3 linked regions of the Drosophila melanogaster genome follow. The protein of the gene in region 2 purifies or fractionates together with the protein of the main gene of each other region. This does not show direct contact. Each region holds a gene or a part of one and is shown on either strand. Other genes may lie near its edges.

Region 1 (3,391 bases), on a different chromosome or scaffold from region 2:
AGCTGAGGAGACAGCAGCCCGAACTGCAGCACATCCTGTTCACCAACTGCAAGGATCAGCGCAACAACGGCGTGCTGGACATCCTGCCCCTGGCAACGCGCCTCGTGAGCGAGAGCAGTCGCTTCAATCGCACCCAAGCTGCCGAGCACAATCTGATGATCATCGGCGTGCCCAATGTGGGCAAGAGTTCCGTGATCAATGTGCTGCGAAATGTGCATCTCAAGAAGAAGAGCGCCGCACGCGTGGGTGCCGAGGCGGGTATAACTCGATCCGTCGGCGAACGCATCAAAATCCAAGAGAATCCGCCTGTTTACATGATCGACACACCCGGCATCCTCCAGCCCTCCATTAAGGATGATGAAATGGGCATGAAACTGGCCCTGGTGGGCTGCCTTCCCGATCATATTGTGGGCGAGGATCTGATAGCCGACTATCTGCTGTACTGGCTGAATAGCCACCGCAAATACGACTACGTGGAGATGCTAAAGCTCAGCTCCGGACCCAGTGACGACATCAGCGCCGTGCTGGCGGAGTACGCTCATCGGGAGGAGCTATTCCACAAGGTCAAGCAGTACGACGGACGCGTGGAGGTGATGACAAATTTATTGGCGGCCGCGCGAAAGTTCATTCACTTCTTTCGCTCCGGCCAGTTGGGTCACATGAATCTGGACGAACCCAGTGGTTTCAGATAGCTATACATATGTATGAATTAAACTTAGGGGCTTAGATTAAAGACTGAACAGTCGATTCTGCTCGCGTCCTTATTGATTTTCCGCCATGGGCACATCGATGGCAATGTCGCCAACGCCGGGCACGGGAATCGAGTACGAAACACTAGCCAAATCGTCGGTATCATTGGCTAGATCCATGGGTGCATGGTGCTGCGGCGCCTGGTCCACCTGTGGCGCGATTCCACCAAGATGTCCAGCCAACTCAGCGGACTGATCCACCTCCGGCGGCACTTCGACGGGCGCACTGCTAATGTGCGGATAACTGGTGCGCGAGGCCGCCAAACGCAGCTCCTCCGGCACGCCCTTCATTCGCATCGCAATGTGACGGGAGTAAGGTGCCATCTTCTGGAAATAGTCAATCAGCATTTGCGGATCCTTCTCCACGATCTGTGCCGATGGCACCAAGTCGAACTCGTCGCAGAACTGCCAGCGCACCAGATACTTGATGTCGCCCGTCACATCCGTTGCGCCCACGATCTCGGCCAGCTCCAAGCCGCGCTCGTAGCCGCGCAGCTTCTGGATCTCTTCGCACTTGGGTTTCTTCTCGCCGCGCTTCTTGGACTTGGCGCGCGACTCCTCGAATTTCTGGATGAGATTCGGGCAATCGCAGTTCTCCTCGGGCTCCCAGGTGTTGTCCGCCGACGTGTAGCCACGCCACTTGATGTAGTACTCAACCTTGCCTTCGCTGGTAATGCGCTTGTCCATGATGCGCTCCACCACGAAGTTGGGCTCGTTTTTAACCATTTTTTATTGTGTTTTTACAAGATTGTTTACAATATTTAAAATCGGCTTGGTTTTTTTCACTAGTGCCAGTGTGACCGTTTGCTGACTTCAACAACAGTTACAATAGCAACATACTTCTGACAGCATAGAAAACGGTCACACTCGCACGCGCTTGCAATTCGAATTCAGGTGAAATTTTAAAGCTCAGGTGCAATGGAATCCGAATCCTCGCAGGATGATTGGTCCGCATTCGATCCAATGTCCAGGGAATACTATGACCAAGTGGGCAACCGTTACACTAACGAGTCTGGCCAGAAACTAATCATGGAAGCCCCGCTGCCGCCAAAGGACGAAAAGGAGCAACGTGCCACCAGGCAGGCGAAGTATCCATACTTGGTGGTTCCAAAAAGCAGTCCCTATGTGACCGAAAAGATGCTAATCAACTTCTTCGGTCGGGCGCTCATCAAGGAGATGGAGTTCCGCCGCTTGTCACGCGTATACTTTGTCTACTTTGAAAATATCGCGTGAGTTTCTTCAAGCACTTTCGCAGGTCATTCAATATTTCGAGCGTATAATCCTTTTTCCAGATCCCTGGAGACAGCGCAACAGCGGGTGCAGCGTTACCCGAACCTGATCAAGTGCATCACTGGTCGCCCGCAAAAGGAGCGGGAAATCACCAGCGATCCGGTGACTTCCACTGAGCCAATGCCAACACCAGGCCCAGCAATTTCGGCCACTGAACGTACGCCAGTGAATCACAACAGAGAGGTTCCGATCTCGACCGGAGGACAAAATCATCCGGAGTTCTTCCGGCCACCGCTGGTCACCAAAGATGATTACAAAAGAGGTTCATTGTTGGCCACCAACGACCCCATTCAACGCTATCTCAATGTAAAGTACGAATTCGCACTGGAGCGCCATGATATCTACAAGCTTAAGGATGAGACCAGAATCCCGCAGGTCGTTCTGCACTTTCGTTCGGGCAGAACGATTCCTTTGTTAGTATAGCCACCTGGTCACGTGCCCTTGATTAGCTAACGAGTATAGTTTCTGCATCACTCAGGTCAACGGTTGCTGTCACCGAAGAGGATAAAACTAAAAGCCTGCTGGAAGACGGCGTCAGCAAGTGCGTGGTTTGTCAAAACTGGACAGACACTTTCTGCAAGCTGTGCAAAATGCCCTTCTGCAATGCCTCCTGTTTCGCCGATGTGGCAGAGCAGCATAAGCAAGCTTGCGGCAAGGGTGAGATACTTAACCTTGACGAAAAGGTGGGCCGGAAGTACCCCAAACCCGGCTTGCCGCCGTCTGGATCTAAAGTGAGAATTACTGCATTCGAGCAGACTAACGTGGTCTATGTGCGCTCGGCGGACATTCAGATTGACATCGCCTATTATACAGTTCTCACGGAGGTAATGATGCTGGGCAAAGATGCCTCCAAACTGCAGAGTACGCCAGTCTGCGGACAAATTGTGCTCTACAAGTTCGAGGGACATATGTCGCGCGCCATGGTGCTAAACGTGGATAATATCAAGGAAATCTATGTAGTGTTCATTGATTTCGGAAGTGTTGAAGTCACGCAGCTGGAAAGACTGTATGAATGCAGTTCGTATTTAGCTGGTTTGACCTGCTATCCCGTAGCCGTTAAATTACGCGGAGTTCCCAGGCGCTTTGTGGGTCCCAACATAAGGGAAGTCATGTACGAACTCGACCAGTCCCTAGTTTTTAATATCAAGTACTCGTCACGTGAGTACGATACCAGCAAGGGCATGCAGGTCGTGGTGATGACCGAGATCGATATTAATAGGAGCCTCAACCGCCTTTTCAAGACCATCCTAACTCCTGTTGAGCCGTCTGTCTCGGACTTGGGATACAAAGAGGACGTAAGCCAGAACTTAAAAAAACATCAAGTACACAGTTGTCATTTGCATTTATTCGGT
Region 2 (4,782 bases):
TGCATATATATATATATGCAAGGATGAGTATCATATCCCTTTTCCAATATTTGTCTCTTCCTTCATCACCCCCTTTTAAAAAGTCCTTACATGATAGTTGCTAAAGGATGAAAAGCCATTTGTCCTTGAACCGATGTCACCTGAGTCGCAACGCTTTTATTTCAGGAAAACCATGTTTAGGGGGTCGAGATTTGGCCGCCGCTAAACAGGTCTCTTTGAGCGACTTACCAACCGGCCGTTTGACGCATTCATCAAAGTAGCACTTCTCAACGTTATGCAGAAATTCCACCAGTAGTCGGTCGTCACCGCCATTGGGTCCCACGGAGTACTCGCACTCATAGTTGTGCTTCTTGAGATCTCGCACACAGCAGTCGATGAACTCTGCATTGGCAGAAAACCAGTCGTTGTGACGCTCAAGGGGAATACCCAAACGAGTCCTTACTACTCCAGTCAACCAGGTGTCATCGATCCAAAAAAATGACATCCTCTCCGCCTCCGCCACAATCCTCTCGGCTGTTGGCACGTTGGTCACGTAAAGCCAGCCCGACAAATAGGCGGGATATAAAGCCTGAGGATACTCCTTTTTGCTAACGTACCACTTATTGGCTCGAAGGCGAATGGGGGGCTTGGCATCCAGTACGTAGCCAGATAACAAAGTACTTGATGTGGCCAGTCCAGGTTCGCGCACCTCGAGGGTCTCTAAATACCTGCGCAGATGAAACACATCGTAAATGATGTCATCATCCAGTTTAATGATAAACTTGGCCTGCTTTTTGCACTCCTCAGAGACCCACTTTAATCCCATTACGTGTTTGTAGCTCAGATTGCGATAGTCCTCGATGAAATTCCCCTGGAGAAGGTCCCCGAAACGATTCTGTTCGCTGGCCAGTTGATCCTGGCTTATAAAATGCTCTCTTGAAGGCAGGGCTGCCAAGAGAAAAACTCTTCGCAGGCCCATTTCTTCCAGTTTGCTTTGGGGAATTGCCTGTCGGTGAGCTGATCGCAAGGCATCGTGTCCGGCATACGAAGTAACTATTAAAACGGCTAATCGGGAATTACAAAAATGATTAAGGATTCCTTACAATGGTTGATTAAAGCAAAGAACTTACCTAAGAGTTCTCTTTTTGCCTTTCGACACACATTACTGGCCAGCAAGTAGTGGAAGTCCGTGAGATTCAGAAGATTACTTAACGGAGTATTAGGGTTAGATGGATTCCTCTTCGTTTCGAGTGGTAAGTGCAGCAAGAAACCGTTTTTGCGGGACTGGCTTGAATCCCTCAAGTGATTCGAAAAGTAACAGAGACTCAGTAGGACGATCAAAAGAAGCGACAAAATAATCGGAAGCAATCTTCGTCCGCGCATGCGCATTTTTCTTACATTCTACGTGGGATTCCCCTCGCACTATGCCGTCTGTAAGTATATGTGGCTTGGTCTATCTTGCTAAACTTTAATAAACACAATGCCTAAAACGATTATATATTAAGAAAAAAATAAATTGAGATGCGTTAATAACAATTGTTTTCACGCCTTTGCCAGTGCTGCCCTATCAAATTAGCGATAGCTAAATTGGGAACCGTGTCACCCTATTTTCTTTTAGCGATTACACATTCCAAGCAGCGTTGCCATGTCCGATAAACATCGATTTTTGTGCCATGCCAGCTCTAGTTGTTGTGTTGTTGCTGTTCTTTACGGATAACAGTTTTCAGCGCGAAGTGCGTGCGTGTGCGTGCGTCAAAAACGCAGTTCTGTATGTGTGTTCGTGTGCTTTTCTTATATTTTTCTAAAGTAATGTTATTGAACTGGTTGCCTATGTAAAGAGAAAGCCACGAAAACTACAAGCATTTGTAAATTCGTTGAAAAATTTGCAGCTTACCAATTCCAAAATCTCAAAACAGTGACTGCAACACCAACAAAAACGCAGTAGCAGCGACGTCGGCAGAGAAACAACAAGAACAACAATCTTGGCGTTGAAGCGATGTGAGAGAGTGTAATATTTGACAGCATGTGAGCTAATCAGCAAAGCAGCGATTTCTGCAAACATTTTGAGCTTCTTAAGGGCAATTAATGAACGAAAAAGTGGAAAACTATAGTAAATATATAGTAAGAAATATAGTGAGAAATTTTGTATTTTTACGTTTTGTTCTCTAGAAATTAAAAAAAAGAGAGGATACAAAAAATTTAGCTGTGACCACCAAGAAACGCAGTCGACTTCGCTGCCGGCAGAACGAAGAAAAAGAAAGAGCATAATATAAAGCAGAAAAACCAGATTTTAATGTCTAAATTTTAAAGATTAAATGTTTTATTTTGCCTTATGTTTGCCCATTTATACTCAAAAATATCGGTGTCAAAATAGTTGCAAATTCAGAACAGCAAAGCAACAACAAAGGCTGCTGCTTGTACGACCGATGCACAAATCTTGTCGGGAAAAATAGGGTTCTGAAAGCGAAATTATGTTTTTATTGGCTTAAAGATGGAAAATTGACTCCTGAAATCGAAAATCAAAGAAACTAATACGCAAAGTAATCAAATAGTGACAATTAAGGCAAGATGACGGACTTTGTTGAGCTGATGAACAGCATGTCCAGTACATTCAATAGCGACTGTGCTACTTCAACAGCGGAGGGTGGTACTTTGCTAAATCTGAACTTGGCGGAAGACAAAACCCTCAAGTGGCGTAATTTGGCCAATAACCAGTTCGCTAGTAAAGAAAAGAAGCACAAGGACAAGGAGGAGGAGGAGCGCAAGGAGGCAAGGAATCAAGAGGAAATCGAAGACATCAAAGCACTTTTGGCAGATGTTGTCGATGCGGCCGCTGTCAAGCTGGAAGAAGAAGAAGCGCAGAATGCAGAAAAAGTCGAACCACATACAAAATGCGAAATAGAGGAAGAAGGTAGGAAGGAAATGGAGTACGATCAAGATGTCGCAAAACAAGACTCCGAAATGGAAAAAAAGCAGAATGGCAAAGCAACATCCATAACAGTAAAGATGGAAAGCAACGAGCGTGCAGAGAAACACGCAACGGAAATTGCAACGACGTCGACAGAGAGATGGGAAAACGAAAGCTTTAAAACTGAGCAGCAAAATAAAAAAGCTGCTGAGAAAGAAGAAGAACCCATACTAGCAGCAACACAAAAATTGGAAGCAAATGCAGAACCACTGACAACAACAAGAATTGAGGTAGCAGTAGCATCTCCACTTGTTGTTAGTTCTGCTAGCGTTAAACTCGCTGCTGACGCAACCAACCAAATGCGAGCAGCGACGTCGGCAGGAGCAGCGACATTAGCTGATAAAAATGTAAGTAAATGTGTGTGTGTTTGTGTGTATCAGCTTCGAAATTCTTGCTTTTTCTTTTATATTTTAATTTATTTAGATGTTAGCCCTTGACTGCTGAGTTCTTTTCTTTCTAGTGTTTCACGTGTAGTTTAAATCAAATACATACGTAGTTATGATTGATGTACACATATTTATATACATAAATATCCTAATGTATGGCATTGTTTTGGTTCATACCAATCATAAAAAAGGTTAGGGATTTATTTCATTTCTCTACTTTTTGTATGTCATACAAATTAAAGACGTATTATGTTGGAGAAGTTACTATTTGTTAATTCATTTAGAAGTTAGCCCTTGACTGCTGAGTTCTTTTCTTTCTAGTGTTTCACGTGTAGTTTTAATCAAATACATACGTACATATGATTGATGTACGCATATTTATATACATAAATATTCTAATGTATGTCATTGTTTTTGTTCAGCTGTTTGTTTAATATGGTTAGGTCATAAAAAGGTTAGATTACAATTGTTAGTTTGTCATAATTCCAGAGGGATTTGAATACAAGAAAGACTTGAAGTAATTGCATCCAATTTTAAGAGGGTTAAGCCATCCATTCATTCATCCTCTTGGTCAACAGACCTCTTATGTTTGGTAGAAACAGTTGTCTAGGCAACCGATGAAGGCATTTGAAGCTTTCTTTGAGGACTGGTACTTCTAGTTAGTATGTCTCTATATTATATAATATATAATATTATCCTGAGTACTTCTTTAGTCGGCACATTCAATGAGTCTCTGTACTTTGCAGGTACAAGTTTCGCCCGGTGGAACGCGACGGTCTCGAAGAACACCCAGACCCATAGACACGCCCACTTCAGTTACTGATGAACATGTTCAGGTGGAGAATAAAAAATTTGGAAAGTCGGAGCAGTATACGGATTGTAGTAGCCATCTGGAGAGGTTCACACTGGACGATAATACTGCTATTGTCAGACTGCAGTTGAAAAGTGAACCGGACAAACCGTCATTAACTGCATTATCTCCTGAGGAAAACTCGGCTCCTGCTCCGAAGCGAGGAAGGGGTCGAGCCAGGAAAATAAGACCCGATGCCGAGGTGGAAACCAGTGAGGTTATTTTACCCTGCGAGGATTCATTAGGGGAGAAGAAACCAGGACGCAAAAGGAAACTCCCGGATGAACCGATAGATCAGCAGCAACTAAGCGACCTTGTCGTGGTAAAAACAGAGCAGGAGGAATTGGGTGACGCTCCCTTGGGAGATGTTAAGAGAATGCGACGTAGCGTTCGTTTAGGCAATCGATTACACGCCGATGGAAGCCCTTGGGAGGAGGTAAAGACAGAGGCACTTCACCCGCAGCCTTCTGCAGAACTTTCCTTTGCGGAGGTCACTTCTGAGATCTTGCCACTAGCTGTCTTAGATGAGAAGACCCCACCCAAAAAGCGAGGGCGGAAGGCAAAAACGCCCTGTGTGAAGTTAGAATCTGAAACATCCT
Region 3 (4,025 bases), 8.8 Mb from region 2:
GATGACCACCTCACCTATCCACATGATTGGGATAAGCCCACTGGCAGTTTATTTGGTGATTCTTGGCAATTTCGGAGGCAGACGCTCACCCTTTTCCGTTCCGTAGGCAATTAGATCCATCTTGTTGTTCCACTCCATACGCTCCACAATGCAGGACATGTTGCGGGCGCCCAGCAACTTCATGGAGCTCGTTTGTGCCATCTTTCCACGCTAGAATTGGCTCGCGGCGTCTCTACTGTGCATCAAATATTTCAATATAATAATTTTAGTTTACACTTTGCCGGCTCCTGTTGCAGTCTATCGAATAATATTCCTGCTATCGATCAGAGATGAGCGGAAATAGTAGCTATTACAAATTGGTTTCTCCAATTCTTCAGTCATTTTTGACATTTTATTTGATTTTTGTCAAATGTTTAAACAAAATATTTGTATTAAAACTTCGGGACAGCGAGAAAGAATGTGTATTTATGATTGAAACTTCTTAGATATTTGTACTTATGCACGGCATGGCAAATTATCTGCCAGCACAATTTTGTTTTATTCGTACTTTACTTTAGTCTTACAAACCTACATAGTTTTAAAAGCTTTTGTTTGGAACACATAATGATTTGCGAAACAATGAAAAAATCGGGAAAATCTAAATTAATCGATCTTAATAACTGCCTGTTAGGAAAAAATCTCAAATTCTGGCTATAAAGGCGCTAGGTGGGCAGCACAATTGGCGTCTTTTGATTTCCACACAAAAATATTGGCAATTTCAATGTGTTTTTTTTTAACTTAAAGTGTTAGAAAGCTGGATAGTTGTTAAGATAGAAAGGTGGTCCTTCAGTCTGAGTCGTTCCTCATTGATCAGGTTAAGCGTAGTTTAGGCCAATTGTATTTAACACTGTGATGTTATATGCTTATAAAACATTTATGTGGGTCAAAAATAAAGGTAGATGTTAAAAACAATTTTACAATTGAACTTATAGATTAAGTATGTATATATATGTATATGTATATATGTATATGTATATACTACCGCTGACTGACGCCAGAACTTCAGTTTGTCCAATTTTTTTATCTTAAGGGCTACGCTACGAAATATGTATGTACATATATCGTATAAAGCCGGTGTGTATGTATCCACATAAGCGAGTGAATCCGAAACAGTCATCTGTATCTGCCACTCAACTAGTCATCCGCATCCGGCTGTCCGTTGTCCAGCTCACTACTCTCGTCCGGCTTGATATTCTCGTCTTGATTGATGCTGCCAATGGGGCTGGCCGGTTCGGGATCCTCCTCGTCACCGCCATCTATATTGCTGCCGCCACCGGTGGTGCCAACGCTGCCGGGAGCAGTATCATCGCCGGCCCCACTGCCGCCGACGGAGCCCAGGCCACCGGATGATCCCAAATTGACGGAATTCGTATTCCCATTACCATTGCCGCTGCCCGTGTGCCAGGTGAGGCGCTCCTCATAGAACTGTATGACCACCTGGGGGCATCGAGTGTTGGCCAGCTTGGCGGGCACAAGGTCGGCGTGATCGCTGCCCTTCCACTTCATGAGGAACATTAGGTGCCCGGATGAGTCGGTGGCGCCCAGTATTTTTGATGCCTCCAGACCGCGCTCAAAGCCGATCAGCTTCTTCTGCTCCTCGGTATCGTCCTCCAGGAAGCTCTTGCGCTTGCTGCGTATGGATTCGGGTGTGGAGGAGGTGGACAGGCGTTTCTTTGTCTCCTTCTTGTTGTTCTTCAGCGACTCCTCGAAGTTGGCTATCAGGTCTGGACAGTCGAGATTCTCCACCGGCTCCCAGGTGTTTTCGCTGCGCGGATAGCCCTTCCACTTTAGATAGTATTCCGTTCGTCCGTTCACCGTTCGCTTGTCCTCGACGCGTTCCACTGAGAATTCGGCCATTGTGCTTTTACGCTAATTGTGTTATTCCAACTGCGAATTTTGTTATTTTCTTGGCGTCCAAAACTTATTTATACGTGCGATTAAAGAGATTGAAGAAGAAGAAGAAATCAAGATGGCAACTCCATGGTCTCGCCATCGGCAACTATCGCTCTCTTGGCCAGTAAACGCATTTTAATTAAAAAGCTGAAACTTTAAAAACTTTACAATTGTAATTTTATCATTATCTCTTGACCATTTTTAAATTTTGACATATATATATATTTTTTTTAAATTACCCTTTCTACCATCCCTGTCAGCGATAACTCTCCAGAAATTGGACAATCGATAAACGGCCGTTGCGTTGCACGTGCGCTAGTTTTTAAAGAAATAAACAATATTACTAAGTACGATTAAGGAGAAAACTAAGCAAATATGGCCGAGTTCATAGCTGAGATGCAGGAGCGCCTGCTGCCGGAATACGAGCAGATGAAGAACTACAGCGTATTCACAGCGGATCAGGTCAGGTGAGAAATCCAAACGAATTTGGAGTCTGTGCCCCCATTTCATCCATATTCTTGCAGAGAAATCGTTAGCAGGCGGGAACGCTTGTTCCTTAAGATCAACAAGAGCCACCAGAGCATCACCGACTACCTGGACTTCATACTGTACGAGAAGCACATGCACATGACCATCGTGGACAAGGAAAAGAAGATGCACGTTAAACTCACCGGTCTAAAGGCCTCCATAGCCACGCGGATCATGCGCCTGTACAGAGAGGCCTTGGCTAAGTTTAACCACGACAGACGGCTGTGGAGCAACTGGATCAAGTTCAGCAGGAAGTCAAATCCTGTCGAGGTGGCGGGCATATACGAGAAGATGCTGCTGGTTAGTATTTGCCAGCCTGCTCACTTCCATTGATTACTTATCCATTGTTGTTATTCTTTTGCAGTACCATGGCGACTCGCCGGATCTTTGGGTGGACGCCGCCTTATGGCTGTACGAGTTCAATCGGCTCAACATCGATCGAGTCAAGGACATCCTGCTGCGTGGCTTGCAGAGACATCCGGATTCCGAGGCACTTAACAAGTGCTTCTTTGACATTATGCTGAAAGAGGCTGCCCTGGCCAGCAACGAACGCAATTTAGCCGAGAATACGCTCTCGGAACAGGACATCAAATTGGAACGCGTGGAGGCGGTCTACCGCAACAGCATGGCCAATATTACCCAATTGGACTACTTTGTTAAGCTTCTAGAAAGCTGTGAGGATCATCAGGAGCTGACGGGCAAGCTGCAGCGAATGATAATCGATGATATGCAAGAGAAGTTCCCCCGGGAGCCGGGCCTGTGGGATTTGCTTGCCCAGCGAGAGTTGCGCGGCTTTCATCTGGGCGACCTGGAGGAGGAGGACTTGGATACCAGTGACGAAGAGCCGGCCAGCAAGAAATCTCGTTCCGTAAATGGCCGCTCTCTCAAGCGACGCATTCAACTCTGCGTTACTGTATACAAATCGGCGGTGGAGGAGCTGCAAACGACAGAAATGTGGAATATGTATTTGGATGCCATGCTGGCACTCAATAGCGATGGAAAGACGGAGCGTATACTAAAGCAACAGTGCCTAGCGGATGCCTTGCAGGCGGGCCATCGCTCTCAGTTGATGGGCGTGAAACACTATGCCACATTAAGAAAGATGCTCTGCACTGCTCCGAGTGGAAGGGAGGCAGCTGTCACCATACTCACGGAAGCCCTGAAAAACGATTCATCGGTGGAGATGCACGAGCTTCTTCTGGCCACGCACATTCAAAGCGACAGTGAGCCCTTGATCTATGAGCTATTCAACAAGATCCAGAAGAGCATGGGCAGTGAGGCGTTGCCGCTGTGGCGCAGTGTCATTCTGTATTATCGCACTCGGCAGGATAGCTTGGGCGCACGCCGGCTGGATGAGATCTACGGTCTCGCCTGCAAGGCTGCGTGGCCGGAATTTGGTGAGCTGCGCTCCGATTATTTGCGCTATCTGTGGCAGGAGCGGTCTGTCGAGGAAGCACGCAAGGAGTACGCCAAGCTGGCCATTCTACCGCCCATGTCGTTGGCGCTGCACCGCCAAATGGTTCAGCTGGAGTCCAGTGCGGCAGCTTGTGTATGTTTTGTTATCT

The links.
Region 1: the proteins of G9a (region 2) and HP1c purify together in Drosophila melanogaster (affinity purification with western blotting, with the first as the bait; one study listed by BioGRID). This does not show direct contact.
Region 3: the proteins of G9a (region 2) and HP1b purify together in Drosophila melanogaster (affinity purification with western blotting, with the first as the bait; one study listed by BioGRID). This does not show direct contact.

Annotation. Positions count from the first base shown.
Region 1 is NT_033777.3:22,743,801-22,747,191, reverse strand, and holds HP1c (heterochromatin protein 1c), read right to left. Parts: upstream 1,573-3,391; 5' UTR 1,476-1,572; coding exon 762-1,475; 3' UTR 693-761; downstream 1-692. Other genes in the region: CG17141 (uncharacterized protein), read left to right, coding at 1-692; vret (vreteno), read left to right, coding at 1,668-1,978, 2,042-2,452, 2,518-3,334.
Region 2 is NC_004354.4:244,303-249,084, forward strand, and holds the start of G9a (G9a), read left to right. Parts: upstream 1-1,675; 5' UTR 1,676-2,547; coding exon 2,548-3,294; intron 3,295-4,079; coding exon 4,080-4,782. Other genes in the region: CG3038 (uncharacterized protein), read right to left, coding at 137-1,044, 1,110-1,368.
Region 3 is NC_004354.4:9,079,230-9,083,254, reverse strand, and holds HP1b (heterochromatin protein 1b), read right to left. Parts: upstream 2,002-4,025; 5' UTR 1,897-2,001; coding exon 1,174-1,896; 3' UTR 509-1,173; downstream 1-508. Other genes in the region: APC4 (anaphase promoting complex subunit 4), read right to left, coding at 1-14, 90-201; CG7246 (uncharacterized protein), read left to right, coding at 2,308-2,399, 2,457-2,760, 2,825-4,009.